Cricetulus griseus: one gene and its partners. The protein of the gene in region 2 purifies or fractionates together with the protein of the main gene of each other region. This does not show direct contact. Links are inferred from orthologs where the notes say so. Each region holds a gene or a part of one and is shown on either strand. Other genes may lie near its edges. The genes, in order: Ncl, Npm3 and Nepro.

Region 1 (7,449 bases), on a different chromosome or scaffold from region 2:
CATAACAAGACTATCTCAAAAAGAAAAAAAACCAAAACAACATACTGAGATGTGATATGCTATCAAAGCTGGAACTAAAAGAGATGTGCACAGTAAACAAATAGCAGGGCCTTTAATGTGGGGAAAGGAACCTAGAAATCTCATGATTGTTTTTGCCTTTTGGTCTTGATTTCAGTCCTCTCTCCTTGGGACAAGAAGATGACTCAGTGGATAAAGTGCTTGCTGTAAAAACATGAGGACTCAAGTTCAGATCCCCAATATCCCTGTAAAAAGCATGGGCTGGCAGCACATAACTGTAACCCTCGTGCTAAGTGGTGGTGGGTGGAGGGAGCAGAGACGGGGATCCCTGGCATCTGCTAGCTTGGGGAGGTAGCTGCTAAGTGCTAGCCTGGCATGCACAAAGCCAAGGTCAATCCTCAGAGCCACATAAAACCAAGGGAGGTAGCACACACTCATAATACCAGCATTTGGGAAGCAGATGAAAGAGATCAATAGTTCAAGGACAGCCTGAGATACATGAGACCCCACCTTAAGAAAATCAGATAGTGAGCAACAGCATTCAGGCATCTACCTCACCCCTGTCCTGTCTCCTTACTAGTTCGAGGACTGCACAAATTGACTCTTTGTCCTCATGTTTGTGAGCAGTGATGCTTTTAGCCTATTTTGGATACATTTATGAATTTAAGATTTCCAAAGAGCTGGAATAGAGTCTGGTACCTGGAAAGCTTCACATGTGTATTAGGTATTGTTGACCAGATTGACTACACAGTAACACGGCTCGACACCAAGCTGTCCCTTTTGCTGCTGCTTCACTTAAACTGTGTTCTTTTTTGAGACAGGGTTTCTTTCTGTAGCTTTGGAGCCTATCCTGGCACTCGCTCTGGAGACCAGGCTGGCCTTGAACTCAAAGAGAATCACTTGCCTCTGCCTCCCGAGTGCTGGGACTAAAGGAATAGACCACCACCACCTGGCTAACTACTTGTGTTCTTAAATCACATTTCACATACAACATTCTGCCTCTACGTATGCCTTGCACGTCAGAAGAGGACACCAGATCTCATTATAGATAGTTGTGAGCCATCATGTGGTTGCTGGGAATTGAACTCAGGACCTCTGCAAGAGCAGCCAGTGCTCTTAATTTCTGAGCCATCTCTCCAGCCCCTAGCAAGTACCTTTTAACACTATTATGTGCCAGGCAATACTGTAGGCACCAGGAATACAGCAGACAACAGTTTGTGTTCTCCTGGCTGGCTGGGGAAAGGGCAAATTAACAATAAACAGCCAAGAAAAATACTAGGTAGGTGATACGACCCAAGAGCATAAGTGAGGGTCCAAGAGTGAGTCTCCTAGTGGCACTTTACACCAGAGGTCTGAGGAAGGCCCCATACAGGTAGATCGGATCGAAAAAGAGAAGTCATGCCAGTGTTGCTGAGATCCATCTGTGTCATCTCACAGCTCACCTGTCTCCTCCCAAGTGCCTTTAGCCTCCTCTGCTTGGAAATACCCAGGGTCTTGGCTCACACCAATCATTTTTCCTGTCCCTCTACCCAGGAGTCTCTCTTGGGGTCCATCTCAAGGTGTGACCCTTGTCACTGTCTCTATAAAGACAAAGCCTCCACATCACTGCACTGGTTCCCACCTCATGCCCTGACCATAGAGCATTTTCGTGGAGCTGTGTCCTCCACCGCGTTGCGAAGGACTTAGTAACAAGCATCACGCATTAACTATTTCTACTTGTCTCCAAAGACCCGTGTTCAGATAGAAAACGTGGGACCCAACACATCCTGTTTGCACTAAAATCTTCCGAGATGGGCCAAGGCGTGGTGGCGCACGCATTAATCTCTACACGCGTGAGGCAGGCAGGTCGAGGCTAGCCTGGTCTACACAGTGAGCTCCAGGACAGCAAGAGCAAATAGTTAGGCCCTGTCTCAACATCCCCGACAAAATCTCCACAGGTGATCTATCAACCAATATCATCAGTTGGCGGAACCCTGACTATGCAGAAAATTAGGTTTTAGATGCCCAGGAGGTACCCTAGAAGGGCTCCAGTATGCCACGCCTGGAACCCAAAGTCCCACACACAGGTCTAATCCACTCACGGCAACTCTGTCCTTCAGGCCATTGAGGGAAACCGTGAGTGGCCACAGGCCGGCAAAAAACTCCTCCAGCACACACCAGGAAGTCACCTCTCCGAGACCGTCCCCATCAGGAGTTAAATCTACCGCGCGAGGTTGGACATTAAGCGAGCTGTTTGAGCACTGCACACAGGCGCGCACACACGCACGCAACTGCCTTTATTGGGAGCTGTCTCTCAGGAGAACAGCGGCCCGCGGCGCAACACTAGAGCCCCGGGATGTTCTCGGCTCTGCCGAGGGCAGGCCGAGGGCCGCGAGCTGGCCCCAGTGGGCTCTAGGCCCTCAACTTCCGGCGCTCTCCGGCTCCTCAGCGGGAACGCGCGGCGAGCACTTGAGGCCGCCGCGGAGTCCACGGTGGGGCGCAGCTTCCGCAGCGCGGGGGATGCTCGGGCCACCCACCACCCCCCACCCCCCCGGCCACGCGAGCCCGGAGCTCCAGGTAGCAGTCGAGCACTAGGAGGCGTCCGGGCCACGCCGCCATCCCCGAGCCCCTTCCACAAGCCGCGCCAAACGGGCGCGTTGCACCGCGCAGGCGCGGCGAAGGCGAGCCGCTAGGGCTCGCCGAGAAGACGCGCACACCAGCCAGTCAACGTCCGCCTTGCGTAGAGCTAGGCCCGCCCCCAGGGCGCTGCCGTCAGGCCCCGCCCCCGGCGGACCCGCCCCCACGCCGTAGCCCCGCCCCCACGCCGTCCTGGGTTGAAGGCTCGCGGTTGGCCAGGGGGACGGACGCGCGCTCTGGTTGGTGGAGGAGGGGTCACGAGGACGCCGTCGTCGCCTTTCCAGAGGCGATTACTGGGCAGGCTCAGTCTTTTGCCTCAGACGCTAGCTGTAGCTGGCAGTCGCTCGTACGTGCTCCAGAGTCCACCGTGCCCGTCGCTGCCGCCCAGCTCGCGTGGGTTCCCCGAGGCTCTCCCGAGCTGCGCCCTTCGCCGCACGCGCCGTCGTCGCAACCCGCCACCATGGTGAAACTCGCAAAGGTGAGAGGCCTCGCGCGCGCCGACGCGGACGGACGCCTGGGCCTGCTTTCTGAGGGGCGCGCGCGCGCGCGTCGCTCAGGGGAGGAGGGCCTGCGCGCAATCCCGGGCGCGTTCGAGGGCGCCATGCTGGGGAAAGTCTCGCGCGACTAGCGGGAGGTCTCGCGGTGTTTGGCCCCTGACTTGGTGGTGGGGGAGAGCCGAGGCGGGTCCCGGGAGGTGTGTGTGTGTGTGAGCGCGCGCGCGCGCGTGTGTGTGTGTGTGTGTAGGGCGGTGAGATCGGAGCCGCCGCGAGGGGAGAAGGGGCGACAGGCCCGCCGAGGGGAGATGGGACCCAACTCGTGGGCCGGCGCCGGCGTGGCCCCGCCTCCTGGCGCACGTGCTCCGGTGCGCGGCCCGCCACGTGGGTTTTGGCGCTCTGCGTGTGTTGCCCGTCTCGGGCTCGGGGAGTCGCGGGGTACCGGGGAGGGGGACAGCGGGACTGAGCTAGGTGGGTTCCCCGGCGATCCCCAGCGCCTGTCCGTGACGGGCAGGCCAGCACGTGGTGGACACCTGAGGGAGCGCGTGGTGGCCTGCGTGGTACCTCCACGTGGCCCGCCTCCAGAGTGGCGACGTCGGAAGTGGTTCTGTGAAAGACGTGCTCCTCTCCAGAAGGGGCTACCCAAATAGATACCCCTGCCCCGGCAGATGATTTAGAGTGAAATTCAAAGGGCAATGAATGACTAGTAGATTGTCTTCAGTTGTCTCTGGAAGGGAAAGACAAGTTATATAGGTGATTCTCAGGAAAGATTGCCACATATAATAATGCCAATGATGTCACCTGTGCTTAGGGCCTTTAACAATATAGACAGTGGGCATTAAGAAAGAAGATAATGGCGAAACGCAAAATGGCTTACAAATAGGGTATCGACATGATTTTGTGTGCACTTGTGTAGGCCGGCAAAACCCACGGCGATTCTAAGAAAATGGCTCCTCCTCCAAAAGAGGTGGAAGAAGATAGTGAAGACGAAGAAATGTCCGAAGATGAAGAAGATGACAGCAGTGGAGAAGAGGTATACAGCTAATAGGGCAGCGGTGCCCTCCCTTTAATTCCAGCAAGAGGGACGTAGAAGGCAGGCAGTTTTAGTGAGTTCAAAGCCAGCCTGGTCTACAGAGGGAGTTCGGGGACAGCCAAGGCTACACAAGAAACCCTGTCTCAAAAACCAAAAAGAAAAAAAAAGATGTAGAAATAGAATGTGTGTTAATAAAAGTATTCTAAAGCCGGGCGGTTGTGGTGCACGCCTTTGATTCCAGCATTCAGGAGGCAGAGGCAGGCGGATCTTTGTGAGTTCAAAGCCGCACATGGTCTACTTAATGAGTTCCAGGACAGCCTCCAAAGCTACAGAGAAACCCTGTCTCCAAAAACCAAAAAAAAAAATACAGTAGTATGATAACAATAGTTGAGTGACAAGTTCTTTATTGCTATTGAGTAGTTAAATAAGAGTATTACAGTCCACTTGAGAGGGATGTAAATTTCACTCAGGTTTCACATGCTGTATTGAATATTGATTGTAGGCTGTTATTTTTCCCTACATTTTTGGAAAACAGGGTTTAATCCAGTTTGATTTGTTTTCATTCAGATCATGGTCACGTGATTTCATGGTGTTTGGTGAGAAGGACATTACGACTAGAAATTCCCGGGTGTTTTTTTTTGTTTGTTTGTTTGTTTTTTGAATCAGGATCTCAACATGACCCTTGTGGTCTTAGAACTCAACATGTAGACCAGTCTGGCCAAAAATTCTCCTGAATAAAGGCATTAGTCATTGCATGAAGCTAGTTAAGAAACTTAGGGCTTTGATTTAGATGAGAATTGGAGTCAGGGTCTCAATAGTTCAGGAATCACTATATTTATTTTACTCCTATTCCCGTCATGCATGTTTTGTTTTTTAGTGCTGATCCCTATCACTAAAGTAAGCTTTAGCCTATTATATAAGCTTTTATAGAGCAAGTCAGTTTTTAAAATACATCAGATATGGATTGAAGGCTGCTACTTACCAGTTTGCTGAATCTGGTACTTATTAGCACTCCTACTTGTTGGTTCATTTAAAGACATGGTTAATTAATTTCAGGAGGCAGAAGTAGGGATAGTCTTGGAAATCAGGTAAGCTGGGGGTATGTAATCATTATGCTCAGATTTCTTGTTTAGAAGAGCTATATTAGTAATAAGCAAAATTTGGGTTTTGGTGGAACATTTTTCAATGAAAATAAAATGCATACTTGTTATAACTCTGCTTAAGGCTGATGTGTAGGGGTGGAGTTGGAGACCAGTTTCATTTATGAGTGTTTCTTAAACTTGGGTATTTGTGTGATAAGCACCTGCAGTTGTAAGCCATGTATTCTGATTCCAGGGTTTAGGATTTAGTGTGTTGGAGTTAGGGTTAGAGTGTTTATCTGTATTTGTATGAGTGTACTACTAAGCATGCCTGGTGCACTTAGGCTAGAAGAAAACTCTTAGGTTCCCTGGAACTATAGTTAGAGCCATCATGTGGATGCTGAGAACTGACCGTTGGTCCTCTGCTAGAGTAACAAGGGCTCTTAACTGCTGAACCGTCTCTCTAGCCCTTTCACCCCAGGGTTTAACATATACCTAATTCCAGTGTTGAGCTCAAAGTTAGTATCAGTATGTTAATAACATTGGATATACGGAAAGTGCTTATTATTTGTTTTACTTTTAAGGTTGTCATCCCTCAGAAAAAAGGAAAGAAGGCTACAGCAACTCCAGCAAAGAAGGTGGTTGTTTCACAAACAAAAAAAGTTGCAGTTCCCACACCAGCTAAGAAAGCTGCTGTTACTCCAGGTAAAAAGGCAGCAGCCACACCAGCCAAGAAGGCAGTTACACCAGCCAAAGCAGTTGCAACACCTGGAAAGAAGGGAGCCACACAAGCAAAAGCATTGGTAGCAACCCCTGGTAAAAAGGGAGCTGTCACTCCAGCCAAGGGGGCTAAGAATGGTAAGAATGCTAAGAAGGAAGACAGTGATGAAGATGACGATGACGACGATGATGAAGACGACAGTGATGAGGATGAAGAGGATGAGGAAGAGGATGAATTTGAGCCACCAGTAGTGAAAGGAAAACAAGCAAAGGTAGCTGCTGCTGCTCCTGCCTCAGAGGATGAAGACGAGGAAGAGGATGAAGAGGAGGAGGAGGAGGATGAAGAGGAGGAGGATGGTAGGTGGATTTCTGTTTGCAGGATGATTAGGAGATCTTGCCAACAATAATGCATGTAGTTTTCCTGACCACTTCGTGCTTAGATTAGAAAGTCACATTTTGTGCTCATAGTTCTTTCCATAACTTAGCATGCTGTCAGAATTTTATTTCTCTAAGACTTTTTTAGTGTGTATAAGATTCATGTTATCTGGATTGGCAGCAAATGCCCTTGCTTACTAAGCCAGCTCTCTTTCAGACTCTGAAGAAGAAGAAGCTATGGAGATCACACCTGCCAAAGGAAAGAAAGCTCCTGCAAAAGTTGTTCCTGTGAAAGCCAAGAATGTGGCTGAGGAGGATGATGATGATGAAGAGGAGGATGAAGATGAGGAGGAGGATGAAGAAGAGGAAGAAGATGAGGAGGAGGAGGAAGAGGAAGAAGAGGAAGGTAAGCAGATTACATTGAGGTACACTGACCTCAGTAATGTTTAATGGAAGTGCTTACCTACTCATGACACTAAAAATCTTATCCAGAGCCTGTTAAACCAGCACCTGGAAAACGGAAGAAGGAAATGACCAAACAGAAAGAAGTTCCTGAAGCAAAGAAACAGAAAGTGGAAGGTAAGCCTGTAAGATTGGGGACTGTGAGAGGAGATAAAGGTAGCAATAGCACAAGTGATGAATGACAAAGGGACTTAATACTGAAACCTGGTGTTGAGATTCAGTGTGCTGATGTGCTTTATAGAAGTTTTATGCTGATGTTTATGTATGGTGAGGTTTTAAATGAACTAAAGTTAATTTTCTGTGCAGGTTCAGAATCAACTACACCTTTCAATCTGTTCATTGGAAACCTTAACCCAAACAAGTCTGTTGCTGAATTAAAAGTTGCCATCAGTGAACTTTTTGCTAAAAATGATCTTGCTGTTGTGGATGTCAGAACTGGTACAAATAGGTAAGTTTTTCATTGAACATTAAATTGAGTTAGCTGGTGCTTCTAAATTCTCCATGCTCTTAAACACAGAGGTATATAATTACTTTAATGAAGACTAGACATTAAAGAACTAAGTCATCAAGTCATGGAACTTGCAAATTTGAAATTTCAATATTTGACTTTTGTGTTATGTCAAATAACAGCAATAATTGGCATTTTTGGATA
Region 2 (7,142 bases):
ACCCAGAGCAGTCAGTGACTGACAGATGCAAATGTTTCTCGGGGCTCCCGCAGGCCACTCTCCCTCCCTCTCTTGCTAGCCTGCCTCCCGGCCAGCTCCCTCCTTCCTTTATCTTATCAAAGCCCCGTAATTACAATTGCTATTTTGTTTCCTTGAATCTGCAATCAGAGCTCCCGCGCCTAGATGAGGGAGCGCCTGTCATCCTGATCTCTGAGTGACAGCCTGGCCACCTTTCCCGGCCGCCCCCACACTTCGCAAACACAAACACACACATACACACACTCCCTCCTGCAAACACAAACACACACTCTTTGCCAACACAAACGGCCCTCTCTGCAAACATGCGCTCGCCAGGCCCCTACCGCAGCCCTGGCCTGGCCACAGGCCCCTCAAATCCACACCCAGGCCACCACGCCTGCAGGTTGAAGTGACTCACACCTCCAGAGCTCCGCGTTCAAAGCGCTGCAGAATCTATTCCGACGGTTCAAATGCAAATCCCCGCGACAGCGTTAGCCACTTTGCACCAAGATCCAGAGCCACCTTTCTTCGTACCAACTCCCAATACCGTGTTGCCCCTTCAGCATTCTCCAGACACAATCCTATCCCACAATCCGCTAGCTGTCTGAGGCCAGAGAATTGGCAGCACTCCTGTTGTGTGCTGAGAGTGCAGAAAAGGGGTCTCCTGGAAAGGTGTGATCTAGAAGGGGGGAAAAACAATTCCCAAGTCTGTCTGCTCCGCGCCACAAGGGGCCGGGAGACTCCAGAACTAGAAGGCAAATGTGGATTGGGCTCCCACTGCGGGCAGAACTCTGCTCGTAGTTCACCCACCGGGAGACCCACTGGGAAAACAGGCGAGAAATACAATGGGCGATCAACGGAGTCACAGGGGGTAGACACTGATGGTGGGGGAGTACGCGCAAGGGGTAGCCGAGTGATGGCTAGTCTCTGCATTTATGCACGTACCCAGGGGTTGGAGGAAGAAGCCGAAAGGATAAGGGAATACCACCAACTAACTCCTCTCTCCTAGCTCGAGTATTTCGTGTAAACGAAAGCGTGCATGTATTCAAAACTTAGTGACTTATCCCGCCTTAACCTTAGCGGGCGTTAGCCCCTAGGGAGCGTTTCCACAAGCAGTTTTAAGCAAGCCCACCAGAGGGCGCTAGTTCTGCCTTCCGCTCCAGTTCGAGACTCCGCGAATGACTCCTGGCAGGGTCGGTGGTGGAAACACCTCGAGGTTAGTTAGGTACTGGGCTTGGAGACCCTGATCTCCGAAACACAGAAGGGCGTCTTTTGTCTTCCACTTGAGAAAGGGAGGTTGAAAACGTACACCTAACTCATCACATAGATAAGGAAAAACTTGTAAGGCTAAGAGGTACCACTTCTCTCTCCTCCTTACCCTACCCCTGGAGCCCAAGCTGGCCTCCCAACTCTCAGTTTTCATGTTTTAGCTTCCCAAGCTTTGCATGTGCTACCACGCCTGGGTTAGGTACTGCTTTCTATGCTATGGGGGACACCCTTGAAGTCGACCACCTGCCCCCAACCCAGCCTCTGTATTATTGACAGGCCCCCTACTTGCTGGTCAGCTGGTGTGAATTAACCTGATTCTCTCAGGCCCTGTTCTCTGTCCATCTTCAGCCTGTCTGGGGAGGTCACCTTTTTGTTTGTTTGTAGGGCATTGACCCCCCCCCCAACACAGCTGAACTGCTGACCCCAGAGCTGGGTGCACACAGTCCTCACACAAGCAACCCCCTTTCTCTTCGTGGCATAGCAGTAGCCAGTCCCCAGAAACACCGATTCTAGGGATGAGACAGTGTGGAGCTCTGGGAGGTAATGACCCCTCAGCAGAGGCGTCTGATTCCCGTGAGCTCCCTTCTGCCCCCATATGCCAGGCCACCCGGATTCTGGTTTCTCTGTCACCCAATCTGGCCAGTTCCCTCCATCTGGCCCTGGGAATCAGGTTTCTAAGGACCCTGCTCTACTCAACCTGCCTCAAAGACCAGAAGAGCCAGGACAGGTCCCAACCCCACCCCTCACAGGCTCTCTCCCTGGGCTGAGCCCCCTCATGGGGCTAGGGATGCACATTCCTCAGGTTTCTTCAGCCCACTTATCTGTCCCTCTCTGCCCATCAGCCTGAGTGCTGACAGAGGCCCAGACCCCTTGTTTGGAAGCTGATAACCTCCTGCGATGGCCCTCCCCCACCTGCAGAAACACCGAAGAGGCGGCAACGGGAGGTCCCTCTGCTGCAGGGCAGAAGGGACTTTTAGGCCCGAGTTAGGCCCTGGGGAACAGGAGGCCACATTTTCTCACCAGCCCTGGAACTAGGACCACTCTGTGCTGCCACAGTGCCACCTTGTGGTCCCTAGGGAAACCTCATGGTTGGAAAAAGCCACACAAGAATTGCAAAAAAACCACATACCACTTTATTTAGATCTTTACCTAAAAATGTAAAAAGTGTTAAAAACGTTGTTCTGAACTTTATTTTTTTTCTTTTTTTTCAGTGCTGAGAACTTAACCTGGGGGTTCACAAAACTTTCAATCTGGGCAGGTGGGGGGGGGTCAATGTTCAAAGGTCATCCCACCCCAATAGAAAAGGGAAGCTTCAGGCAACCTGTAGGAGTAAACACAGGGCCCTGTGGAGAACGCAGTTCTCTTAGCACCGGTCCAAGTTCCTCCCACCTGCCCCTTCCCAAACTCTCCTCTTCAACGAGAAAAACATTTACAATTCTTGAAACTTGTCCAGGAACATACGGTGCATGATGCCTGTAGCAAGCGGCTAACCTGAGAAAACAAAGTAAGAAGTCAGGGTCTGAGCCCTCACCTGCTCCCCTAACTTCCCAGTTCCCCTCCTACTCACCGGAGAGGGCTAGGGCCTGTCCCTGTGCTTTCTGGCAGGAAGGATGCCACACAGCTTGACTTCCCCCTCTTCACTCTCATCATCCTCACTTTCTTCAGAAAGATCATTGTTTATACAAACTGTGGAGACACACGGTCAGACGGGAGGTTAGAGCCAACCGTCCTTACACCACATGCCCGGTCCTCAATTCCCTGGAGTGCTAGGGGGACGGGAACCCCTTCTTCCAGTCTAGATGGGAAGGACAGACGTCAGACACTACCCCGAAGAAGGAAAAAGAGGGCCTGCCCACATCATTGGGGCTGCGGCACCTGGGACAGGTTACCAGAAGTTCATAGGCTTGGGCGGGGCAGTGAAAGGCACATAATACTGGAACCACAATCTGGGACTCAGGATGCACTGGTGGAGAGATGGGAGGGCCCAGTCTTCTCACCAATCCGATGCCGGCCAGTGATGCGCACAGGCCCAGAACCCGACTTCAGGCGGAAGGTTACAGGTGGTTGGAGCTGGAAATCATCCAGACTGAGCTGGAAGACAGGAATGAAGGCCTGATCCACTCTGGCCCAGCCACCTTGGGACTGATACTGAAGTTCTCAATTATGCCCCACCGTACTCCAATGAACGGATGGCCACAACTCACCATGGGCTGGCAAGATAACCTCAGGTTGGCCACAGGAACTGCAATCTCCTGGTTGTCATGATCCCGGGCCACAACTTCCACCACATTACACTCTTCCTTGGCCCCCTCGGTAAGGCACAGCTGAAAGCGCATACAGAACCTCAGTCTCAAATGAGGGCCCGCACCACAGAGAAGACCGCTAACCCTGAGGCCTACCCAGACCCGGGGGTGCGCGGGGAGGGGCCCAGAGAAGTAGCCCGCTGAGGGTGGCCTCGAGCGACTCCCGGCCCAGGGGTGGGGGAGCGGGAGATGCGTGCATGGCCCCAGCGCCCTCTCTCCAGCCCCTCACCATGTTCAACGCCAGCATGTGTTCCGTGTCCTCCTCTTCCTCAACCTTGAAAGTGAAGGAGCGGGTGTGGCCGGAGAGCTCACAACCTGCAAGAGCCCGGCGTTCGTTCGCGTGAGGAGCACGCGCGGAGGGCCGCGCGCGAGGGCGCTACACACCCCGCAGCCCCTCCCGCCCGGCCACGTGCCGCCGCGGGCTGACGGGCCGCCTGGCTGCCAAGCGTTCCTTCTTGAGGCACCTGGGGGGCGAGCTTCTGGGCCTGCAGGCCGAGGGCAGGGCTAGGGAAAGCCGGCAACCCTCGGCCCACACCCCCGGCGCCCGGCCGCGGTCCTCACTCGCCCCCGAACCACCCTCTGCCCCGCCAGTCTTCAATACCGAAGAAGAAACTGTCCATCGTGACGGGAGCCGGGACCCGCAGGCCGCCCACACCCCCGGCCCGGGCTCGGCTCTCTTGATTCAAGAAGGCTAGAGCAGCAGCAGCGCCGGCCGCCATGCTGAAACGGCCTGAGAAGCCCCGCCCCCGCACGCACCGCACGCCGCACCGCGGCCAGTTCCGGCCCCGCCCATTAAAGGAGCCGCGCGCAGCCAGAGTGAGTCGAACCGAACGCCGCACGCCGCACGCCGCACGCCGCACGCCGCACGCCGGACGGGCGGGAGCAGCCGTCAGCGCTTCCGCAAGGACAGGTAGCCCGGCCTCAGAAGACAGCTCGTCACATCCAGAGACCCTCTCTTCCACCCCGCAGTTACGGAGCGACCTTACTGTCATACGCCTCCGTGCCTCCTCGTCCAGAGACGCTGTGGTTCAGGGCAGCCATCCTCCCCTTCCTCAGGGATTCCCACCCTCACCTTGGCCGCGCTAGACGCCCCTCAGATAAGCTCCCTGATCGGGATGGACGCTGCTCCTATCCAAGCCGCCCTGGAGCCCCACTTCCCGGCAGCTGAGGCACACCCTCCTCCTTAGGACTCTCCTCACAGAACTTAGGCTACACACCCCCACACCAGTATCCCCTATTTAAGGAGAACAACTGCACTCCCTACAGAGAAACTCAGAAGCAACCCCTCTACTTCACAGATTGTAACTGTAGTAGGAGGGCAACTAACTAAAGACAAAGGAACCTTTCTGAGAAAAACTGCAAGTTAGTTCTTTGCTGAGGAAGGCAGGAAGGAGCGCTGTCTTCAAATTCCAGGCTACATTGAAACAGCTTTGGGGAGAAGATTGCTTGCCTTAGCTGAGGCATCAAGAGATGGGAAACAGACGGAGAGCAGAGAAAAGTCGAACACTATCACACAAATTCACTTCAAGTTTTATTTTGCCTCTTGCATGGTCTTCAGATAGTTTTACAGTTTGTTTTCTACAGAAACTGAGCTGTGATTCAAACAATCAATGAAATGATATTCCAACCTTAATATTCATAACCATGTAAGTTGGCACAGCACTTTATCCCAGAGCGATGATGGTATAAACCTGGACATGTTTCAGGTATGTTCAGATCATTCAAAGTGATTACTGAAAGCCAACATGAAACAAAAAGCAACTTGTTTAAAATTCCTGATTCCATAAGAAACTGACTCTGAAACCCTCCAAATAAAAGGTGGTAATTCCCACTAGAGTATGGGGCTGTACTCAAGAGAAAGGTGAGGAACATTAAATGGTTTTAGTATCTAGTAAAAATTTTGCCCTTCACCTCAGCCTTCAAAACCAAACTTGATTTCAGTTTTCCAACATAGCCTATCACAGGTTTTTACCCTAAGAGGCTTCTAAGCAAGCACTCTCTCCTGGGCCTCAGTTGGAAGTCACCAGGTACACTAGTGCTAAATTTAAGACTATCTCAAAAGCTCACACTGGAGTTCTATAAAAGTAAATGTTCAAGTTTCCTTTTTCTCTCTCCCCCCTCAGCTCAGAGTTCAAAAGCTGATGAAAAACTTGAGAGAAGATAACAAAATACTGTTGAAATCTAGAGAGAAGACACTAGCTAGCCATGATTTAAAAAAAAAAAAAAACCCTGCAGAGACCATCTGCCAGCTTCATGCTCAAACCCTTAAATTCACCAAATCTAAATTAAAATACATGAAGTTTTCAGAACTTCTGATTAAAAGAAAAAGTATACTTATGGTTAACATATACTTATTCTTTCTTTTAAAAATTAGATACAAACATGCAAGAATTAAAGACTGATTCAATTAAACCAGTAGTTAACAGGTCTTGAGATAAAATGACAACTGCTCTAAGGGCAGAAGAGACGAGTCAGTCCCTTTACTTACCCTTACATGACAACAATGTCAGAACATTTCACATGCGTATCTGCAATGAAGGTTAACCTCCAGAAGTAATGCACTTCCCAATAGATTTGAGTCCTATAAAGCTGACACTCCCCCCAATAGTCGTGGCCTATTCCTATGTGGGAGGCATTTTAAAGACAAACGTAAAGGAAATCTACCATCCACTGGTTTACATTATTCAAAGTGCCACCCTAAACCAACACCTTTCATTTTCAAAGGAAAAAAAAATATAAAAACAGTAAACAAAAAGAACAGTCAGGTTACAGCTATAGTCTATATACAAAGAAATTTACAAGTTTGTCCATTTAGGCCTTTGCCACAAACAAATGCACATTTGTCCCTACAAAGCACAACTGCCTGAACCAACATTATAGGAGATAGTTAGCCAGAGCTTTACAAAAAGCAGAAAAATTGCCCCAAATTGGAACCCCACTAATTCTTTGTCATTCCTGCCATGTCTCCAAAGAACAGAGACAGTTCATTCAGCACCACGGAGAACAAAGAGTGATCTTCATTACTCGTAGGTGAGAAATGCAACCACACTGGATGCAGAAAATAGTGCTGACTACATTTATTTGAGACCCTCTCCCTACAGAGCCCCATAAGAGGTCCTGACACCTAACACAAGACCCAAAGGAGAGGCACACCACATCTTTTTCCCGCAGGATATGCAGCAGTACTATCTTCCAACCAGTGAGCAGTCTGAACAGGGGATGGTGAGTTCTATAGTCATCTTTGTTTCCAATTCAACTGGCTTATCTGTCACGGCTCCAGACACTGAACTGTGTGAAGACCTCAACCACCAACCACAAGGTGGGGTTAAGAGACTCTGGACAGTTCACAGTGCCAACCAACGTCACAGGCTTCGACCAAGTATAACCACATCCTTTGGAAATCCTTCCATCTTTGCAATTTCAAAACAGCCTAACTTGCTGTAAAATTCCAGAATTCTTTTATCATCTGGTCTTACTTCACAGAAAGCCCCCCGGGATCCTAGAAATAAAACAAAATGTTTTAAATATAAGTAAATATATAATATAACCATG
Region 3 (6,776 bases), on a different chromosome or scaffold from region 2:
GGGAAATTCATCAACTGGTCATCACCCAGGAAGCTAATTTAAATTCTCCACATGGTTGGAGGGGGGCAGAGAACATTATTCCATTTAAGAATATTTGTGTTTCCTTTTTGAGCCACCAGGCGGCCCATTATACCTGCTTCACAGCTGCTCATGTTAAGATTAGGAAAAATCTGTACAAACTCCCCCCCCCCCCCTCCAAGTTACATACTACAACTTCCAGTGGCCCTGGTGGTTTCTCTTTTCTGAATGTAAAAGAACCCAAACCCTATTGATATCCATGGGGGGATTTTGGTTCCAGGAATGCTTCTATTAAAAAAATGGGCATGTGCTCGTCTTTTATTACATGTTAGATAGATAGTTTTTACAGTGTGGCCAATACTCATCTTTCTGTATACATTAACCCTATCTGTAGGTTGCTTATGATACTGAATACAATGTGACTGCTATTGACATACAGTAGAGATGGAATTTGTGGGGACTGTATTCAGTGTGAGGTTGGTTGAATGCAAAGATGGCACTTACTGATAGAGGGCTGAGTATATTATATATTCTTATCAAAAAGTGGTATCCAAAGTAGAGTTCCTTTTACTTTGCAGGCTGTGACTTTATTCCCTCTGTCTTGCTTACCTGCAGAGGGTTTCATTGACAGATGCAACATGTGCCCAGCTTTTGTATTTTTGGGGTATAAGTGATCATCCCCAGATGATGACTGTAGAGTAGTCACAGTACTCATGTCAAGGTAAAAGTGATGTAAAGACATCTACACAGCCAGGGTGGGCGGTGGCACATACCTTTGATCCCAGCACTCGGGAGGCAGAGACAGGCGGATCTCTGTGAGTTTGATGCCAGCCTGGTCTACTGAGTGAGTTCCAGGACAGCCACCAAAGCTACAGAGAAACCCTGTCTTGAAAAACAAAGCAAGCAAACAAAAAGAGACAATACACATTCATGTTCAACAAATGTTCTCTTATAGATCACCTGATATCATTTTCCAATTTCTTAATACTCAGAATCCTTTCTTATATTTTTCTTTAAGGCAAATAAGTCAGAATGTTCCTTTCAGAGTATTTCTCATCTGATGCAGTAGATGTAGACATGCATACTGAATCTTGTTTTAACTGTTTCTGCTTTAGATATTTGCATTGCGGCTGTCATTAAAGGATGCCACCTTGTCACACAGTCAATCAAGAGCAAAACCTTAGATGCGGAAGTGGATGTATTATGCTCCGTTCTCTACAGCAATCACAACAGAATGGGCCGCCACAAGCCCCATTTAGCTCTCCGGCAGGTGAGGGGAAGCTCCGTTCCACATGCAGCCCAGTACTGACGAACATGAGGATCACACTGCCACTTACTATTTTGTTATTTATGGAAAGTTCATAAATTATTTTGATTCATAAGTCTACAAGACACAATTACGTGTTGGATATTTTGGCCTTTTATTTTCCCAAAATATTTTCAAAAAGTAATTTATGATCAAGAAATATATTTCAAAGCTGGTGCACACCTTTAATCCCAGCACTTGGGAGACAGAGACTGATTAATCTCTGTTGGTTTAAGGCCTGCCTGGTTTGTATAGTGAGTTTCAGGACAACCAAGTCTATGTAGAAAGACCCTGTCTAAAAGAAACAAAACAAAACAAACAACAACAATAAAAAAATCTCAAAAAAGAAGTATATTTCAATTCTTTCCAGTTTAATTTTTACTATTACAGTCTTTAACAGTGCCTTTGCCTAGTATAAAAGTAAACTAATTTAAACCCTAAAATCTTAAAAATGAAAACAGTTGTGGCTTAGTGTTGTGGTTGACTTCTTGTGGGGTCATAATGTCGTCAGCAGTGTGTTGCTGTGAGTGGTTTATGGTACGCAGTGATGTGAAGTGCTTTCATGTAAGTTTTGGAGACTGAGAAAGTATTGTGGCCTTTAGCTCCATGACTCCATGGCAGAGAGCTGCTGGAGGTGGGTTCTCTATGTGCCATTCACACACTCTTTGCCAGTCCTGCAAGTACCCTTTCAAAGCTCAGTGTGCTGCCCACTCGTGTGAGAGCCATCTTTCCAGTACTTATGTGTTTTTCACAAAGTTCTCTGTTGACATCATACTTGGTGTTGGATATGCAGCAATAAAAAGACATAGTCTCTTCTGTACAGACTCTTTCTCTCTGGTTAGCTATACTCCCATTGCTTAAGGCCCAAGGGATGAGGATGCTGTCTTCAAAGAGGATCACTGTCTTTCCCTAAGTTGTCTTCTCTGGGGCTGCTTTAACCCAGGTCTTCTAAACCAAGAGCAAACTTGTTCACTACCTTCTTGCTGAAGTTCTTAACTGCCTTTTCCCTTCCCTTCCTCTCTTACCCTCCTCCAAACCGTATTTCACTCATTGTAATTTCCTATCTTAAAAGATGGTGTCTAGACTTAGAAATTACAAAAGATAGGAGCCAGCCCCAGAGAATGTCAGGGTTGAACTATGTTGAAGTAGAGTCCGTAACAATGATTTGGATTTTAGTAGTATCTGTAGCTCTGGCAAGGTTGGGACTCATCAATAGCAGTTCCCATCAGGAGCCTTACATCCTCCAAAGTGCAGGTGCAGTCCAGGGAGGGCCCTTGGTAGGCATTCCTGAGAGGGCGTTTATACAGCATTCTGTATGCTGTATAAACAAGCAGCATGGCTTGTTTTCTCCTGAGAAAAAAACACTAAGCCCTGTTCTAAGAGCTGGATTACACTGGTGAACAAAATGGATGAGTATATTGTCCACAGGGAGCTTACAAGGGCAGGCAGACAGCCAGTCAGCCAGTAACTGGCTATGCCAGCTGGTAAGAGTGCTGCAGGGAAAAGCAGAGCAGGGGAGGTTGCGATTTTAAATCAAGCATACCTGTTGTAGCTTTAAGATAGTACTTTGTGTGTTATCTGTCCTTACTACTTGAAATTGGGATGTATCATATACCACGCTGTCTCCCAACATGCCTTGCATGCAGTTAGGTGCTCAGGATAGATTTGTTCTAGGACTAAGTCACTTTCTTCATTTCTGGTGTTTACAGACTATTGAAACTGAGTAAAGAATTGGCTATCTTGTTTTACTAGGTTCACTGCTATAAGTATGTTCCCTCAACAGATTATAATATTAAGACATACTCATTTTGATCCCTTCATAGCATCGAGTACTTGGCACATAGTAATTTCTTGAATTGAGAGATTTGTTGGGTTGGTTTAATTTCATATTTGTAAGCAGAAGCAATTGCTTTGGGATTTGGGTTTCCTTGTCCTTAAATGAGAAGGTCTTATGCGGCACATTTCCATACTGTGAATGTTTGCTTTCTTTGCATTCTTCTTGGTCATATCTGTGACACTGCTGTATTACATGCATACTAATTTAAATGGATCTTCCTCCTTCTGTTTGCTTTCTTTGCATTCTTGGTCATATCTGTGACACTGTTGTATTACACACATTCTAATTTGAGCCCATCTTCCTCCTTCAGGTAGAACAGTGTTTAAAGCGTTTGAAAAACATGAATTTGGAGGGCTCAGTTGAAGACCTGTCTCAGTTGTTGTCTGCCAAGTAGGTGGCCCATTGCTTTGTCAGGATGTCTTTGCTATTCTCTGCTTGGTGTTGAGCTATAACCAACTATGCCAAGATCTATACATTATGTTTTAATAAGGGGCACCTGTTGATTGATGGGAGGGACTGGTGGGACATGGAAATGTGGCTCACAGTAGGTTACAGTGAAAGAACAGTTGGTTGCTGATAGGCATAACCACCTCAGGCTGAGCCTAAAACAAGCCTTCACTTGGATAGTGCTGTAGAAATGTGTTTAAAAATGAAAGTCATGTCCTTTTCTGTTTATGTCAAGTGAAACCCAGCCAGGAGCTACTGAAAACCGTGTTGTCCCCAGCCAGCCGGTGGTGGAGGTGGTGCTGATGAAGGTTTTGGGAGGCTGCAAGTTGTTACTGCGCTTGTTGGACTGCTGCTGCAAGGCATTTCGGTATCCTTGATTATGGGAACACCTTCTTTGGAATGGGCCTGTTTGGGTATCTTTATAGCCTCTGTTTAAAAGCTGTGCTATAAGGTGGGGTAACCTGTGGGAATTCTTAAAGCGTTGCCTTTTGGCTCCTCTTCTAGCAACTGCTAGAAGAGTTGGCCCGTGCTAGAAGGGTATAGCCCGTGCCTAGCATGAGCCTACCTAGCATGTATTCTAAGAGTTTAACCATTAGAAATTCTTACTCCCACATACTAACTGTAGTAATAGGAGCTCTAGTAGAATAGACATTTCTCTGTTTTTAGTGTACTGTGTTGTTATTGCCATGCTAGGACTTTAATACCTTCACCGTCTTCTTTACGTCCAATTTATTTCTTTCGTCATTTTAACTAACAAATCTTCCTTTGGTTTTATTTTTCCAACCTAAACTGATTCTTCAGGTTGATCGTGAAGCACTTAGGACTGCAAGAATTCATTATTTTGAACCTTGTGATGATTGGGCTGGTGAGCAGGTTATGGTATGTTTTCCTTTCTACAGTTGTGTTTCATTTCTTTTTCATGTTTGCTCAGTTTCGTTTCACACCGTTGGCCCTAGGATCTGAAGACATGCTCTTTTCTGTCTTCCTATGACAGTTTATTTGCAGATTGTAAGCTGACCTGTTTCTTATTAGTGTTCTCACAATTTCATTTCACACTATTGGCCCCGGGATCTGAAGGTGTGGGTTGCCTATCTTCTTATGACAGTTTAAAGATTGCAAGCTGAGGGCTGGTGGTTATGCCAGAGGAATGGGCTTTGCTTCTGAAACCATACAACTAGCCTGATACTGAGTAACTCAGAAAGTGAATCCCTAGGACCTAAGATTATAATAATAGTAATAGTGATAATAATAATGATGATGATGGTGGTGGTGGCAGTGGTAGTAATATTGTAGTAGGCTTTTGAAAAAGCTGCTGTTCCTGTGGTGTCCATATCTTGATTCTTTCTGACACCTGATTTCTAATTTTAATAGCAATTAGAAATACAATTTGACCTTCCCTGTATGCTCTAGACTTTTCTTCTGCCTAACACACGACTGCTTTAGAAGCATATTTGGTTAGTGTAAATAACACTAGTAATACTCACCCACTAAAAAAAGGCATTTTCCTTTTTTTAAGAGCTCTTAAAAAAAAGATTTACTTGCTTATTTTATGTGTATGAGTGCTCTATCTAAATGTATGCCTTTGTGCCAGAAGATCCCACTATAGATGGTTGTGAGCTACCATGTGGTTGCTGGCGACTTGAACTCAGGACCTCTCGGAGGGCAGCCACTGCTTCTGACCCATCTCCACCCCTCCCCCCAAGACATTTTCTTGTGTGAGTTTGTGTAGCATAAAACGGTTTGATGGATAAGCAGACACAGAATTGGATCATTAGCTCTAATTTGAATATAGCAAAAACTGTCAAAACAATAAAAGTAAACCCAGAAGATTCTACCATCAAACATAAACCTTGCTTTCATGTCTTAACCCAGATATCTCATTTGTATTTTGTTTTCTTTTCATTCTGCTTATTCATAATCAGAAGTAATAGCATTTGAATTGCTAATGTTACTTTGTTAATAAAAAAATTGAGAGAGGCTCTTACTGTGTAGCCCACGCTAGCTCTGAATTCATGATTCTATTACCTTAGCCTCCCAAGTGTTGTAGGTGTATACTCCCAAGCTGGGCTTGCTAATCATATTATTTTAAAATGTTTAACTTTTACCTTTTTCTGAAATGAGAAATAATTTACATTTTACTGATTAAAACAAAGGTTTATGCTTAGAAATCCCAAAACACAAAAATGTGAAGAACTTGAAATGCACCTGAAATCTCATCTCAATAAAATAACCATAGGATTTTTGTGTGCACTTATTTGACACGTTTCTAGGAAGTTCTTTTTGTGTAGTGTTTAATATTTAGATTTTTGTGTTTGGGGTGGATTAATCTGGCAGTTTGCAAATACACACCTTAGGCATTTTGTTTGGTTTTGTTTAATCTATATTTGCAGAACTTGATAGCTCTTTATTTTCTGTTTTGGGCCTTGTGTTTATTGCATATCTGCAGACGATGTTATTAGCGGATTCATGAGCTTCTGTTTCTTTCTAGGGTTCTCCATAAGGGACTTTTAAGGAGGCTGGTTTCCTTATACGAGCCATTGTTCCAGTTGCTTCAGGAGGTCTCCAGGATTCATCCCATGCCTTACTTCAAAGAGTATGCCTTTCCTTCTGATGTCACTGATTTTCTAGGGCCACCTTACGTGGAACTCTTTAAGGGAAAACCGCCTGAAGCTGTTGCCACTAAAGGAGTAACTAAGTTGCTAAATAAACTGTTTACAATGAAAGAACAACTACCAAAGGTCAGTGAAGACACTCTAGATAGAATTTCTAAAACATCTGAACAAATGAAGAACAATGCACAGAGTAGTATGGACCTGGGACAGCCAGTGAGAATGAGCAAAAAGACCAGAAAAGGTGAGTTGCTTAGATGAGTACATACTCTTTCTTGTTTCTTTTAAAATTCTGTTTATTTTTATTCTTTCTTTTTTAAACATATACTTTCGTGCATTATCTAGAAAGAAATTCAGAATTCCATTTCTTAAGTCACTGATTATATTTAGTTAGGGAGGTATGAATGTTGCCCATTTTCAAAGCTTTGCTTCTAGTTCCTTCCTGGGCTTTTGCTTTCTTCTCTTCGTTTCTTTGCAGTAACTTGTCAGGAAATGTCATGAGGTTAAGAATTTGTTGGTGGTTTGAAAATCTTATGGCTCAGTTTTTATTTTCCTTTTA

What was found.
Region 1: the proteins of Npm3 (region 2) and Ncl fractionate together in Homo sapiens (co-fractionation; 4 studies listed by BioGRID and IntAct, with this or other methods). This does not show direct contact. The link is inferred for Cricetulus griseus from reciprocal best matches to the Homo sapiens genes NPM3 and NCL.
Region 3: the proteins of Npm3 (region 2) and Nepro purify together in Homo sapiens (affinity purification with mass spectrometry; 4 studies listed by BioGRID and IntAct, with this or other methods). This does not show direct contact. The link is inferred for Cricetulus griseus from reciprocal best matches to the Homo sapiens genes NPM3 and RMP64.

The regions. Positions count from the first base shown.
Region 1 is NC_048595.1:438,025,693-438,033,141, reverse strand, and holds the start of Ncl (nucleolin), read left to right. Parts: upstream 1-2,932; 5' UTR 2,933-3,094; coding exon 3,095-3,112; intron 3,113-4,044; coding exon 4,045-4,161; intron 4,162-5,824; coding exon 5,825-6,317; intron 6,318-6,552; coding exon 6,553-6,741; intron 6,742-6,827; coding exon 6,828-6,914; intron 6,915-6,961; exon of another isoform or gene 6,962-7,031; intron 7,032-7,103; coding exon 7,104-7,245; intron 7,246-7,449. UniProt on the Homo sapiens protein: Nucleolin is the major nucleolar protein of growing eukaryotic cells. It is found associated with intranucleolar chromatin and pre-ribosomal particles. It induces chromatin decondensation by binding to histone H1.
Region 2 is NC_048596.1:15,814,020-15,821,161, reverse strand, and holds Npm3 (nucleoplasmin-3), read right to left. Parts: upstream 4,352-7,142; 5' UTR 4,310-4,351; coding exon 4,192-4,309; intron 3,906-4,191; coding exon 3,820-3,905; intron 3,612-3,819; coding exon 3,492-3,611; intron 3,379-3,491; coding exon 3,285-3,378; exon of another isoform or gene 3,163-3,284; intron 2,974-3,162; coding exon 2,864-2,973; 3' UTR 2,855-2,863; intron 2,779-2,854; 3' UTR 2,756-2,778; coding exon of another isoform or gene 2,749-2,755; 3' UTR 2,398-2,748; downstream 1-2,397. Other genes in the region: Fgf8 (fibroblast growth factor 8), read right to left, coding at 2,749-2,755; Oga (protein O-GlcNAcase), read right to left, coding at 6,953-7,089. UniProt on the Homo sapiens protein: Plays a role in the regulation of diverse cellular processes such as ribosome biogenesis, chromatin remodeling or protein chaperoning. Modulates the histone chaperone function and the RNA-binding activity of nucleolar phosphoprotein B23/NPM.
Region 3 is NC_048597.1:45,715,201-45,721,976, reverse strand, and holds part of Nepro (nucleolus and neural progenitor protein), read left to right. Parts: intron 1-1,133; coding exon 1,134-1,288; intron 1,289-3,471; coding exon 3,472-3,551; intron 3,552-3,843; coding exon 3,844-3,975; intron 3,976-4,409; coding exon 4,410-4,487; intron 4,488-6,096; coding exon 6,097-6,461; intron 6,462-6,776. UniProt on the Homo sapiens protein: May play a role in cortex development as part of the Notch signaling pathway. Downstream of Notch may repress the expression of proneural genes and inhibit neuronal differentiation thereby maintaining neural progenitors.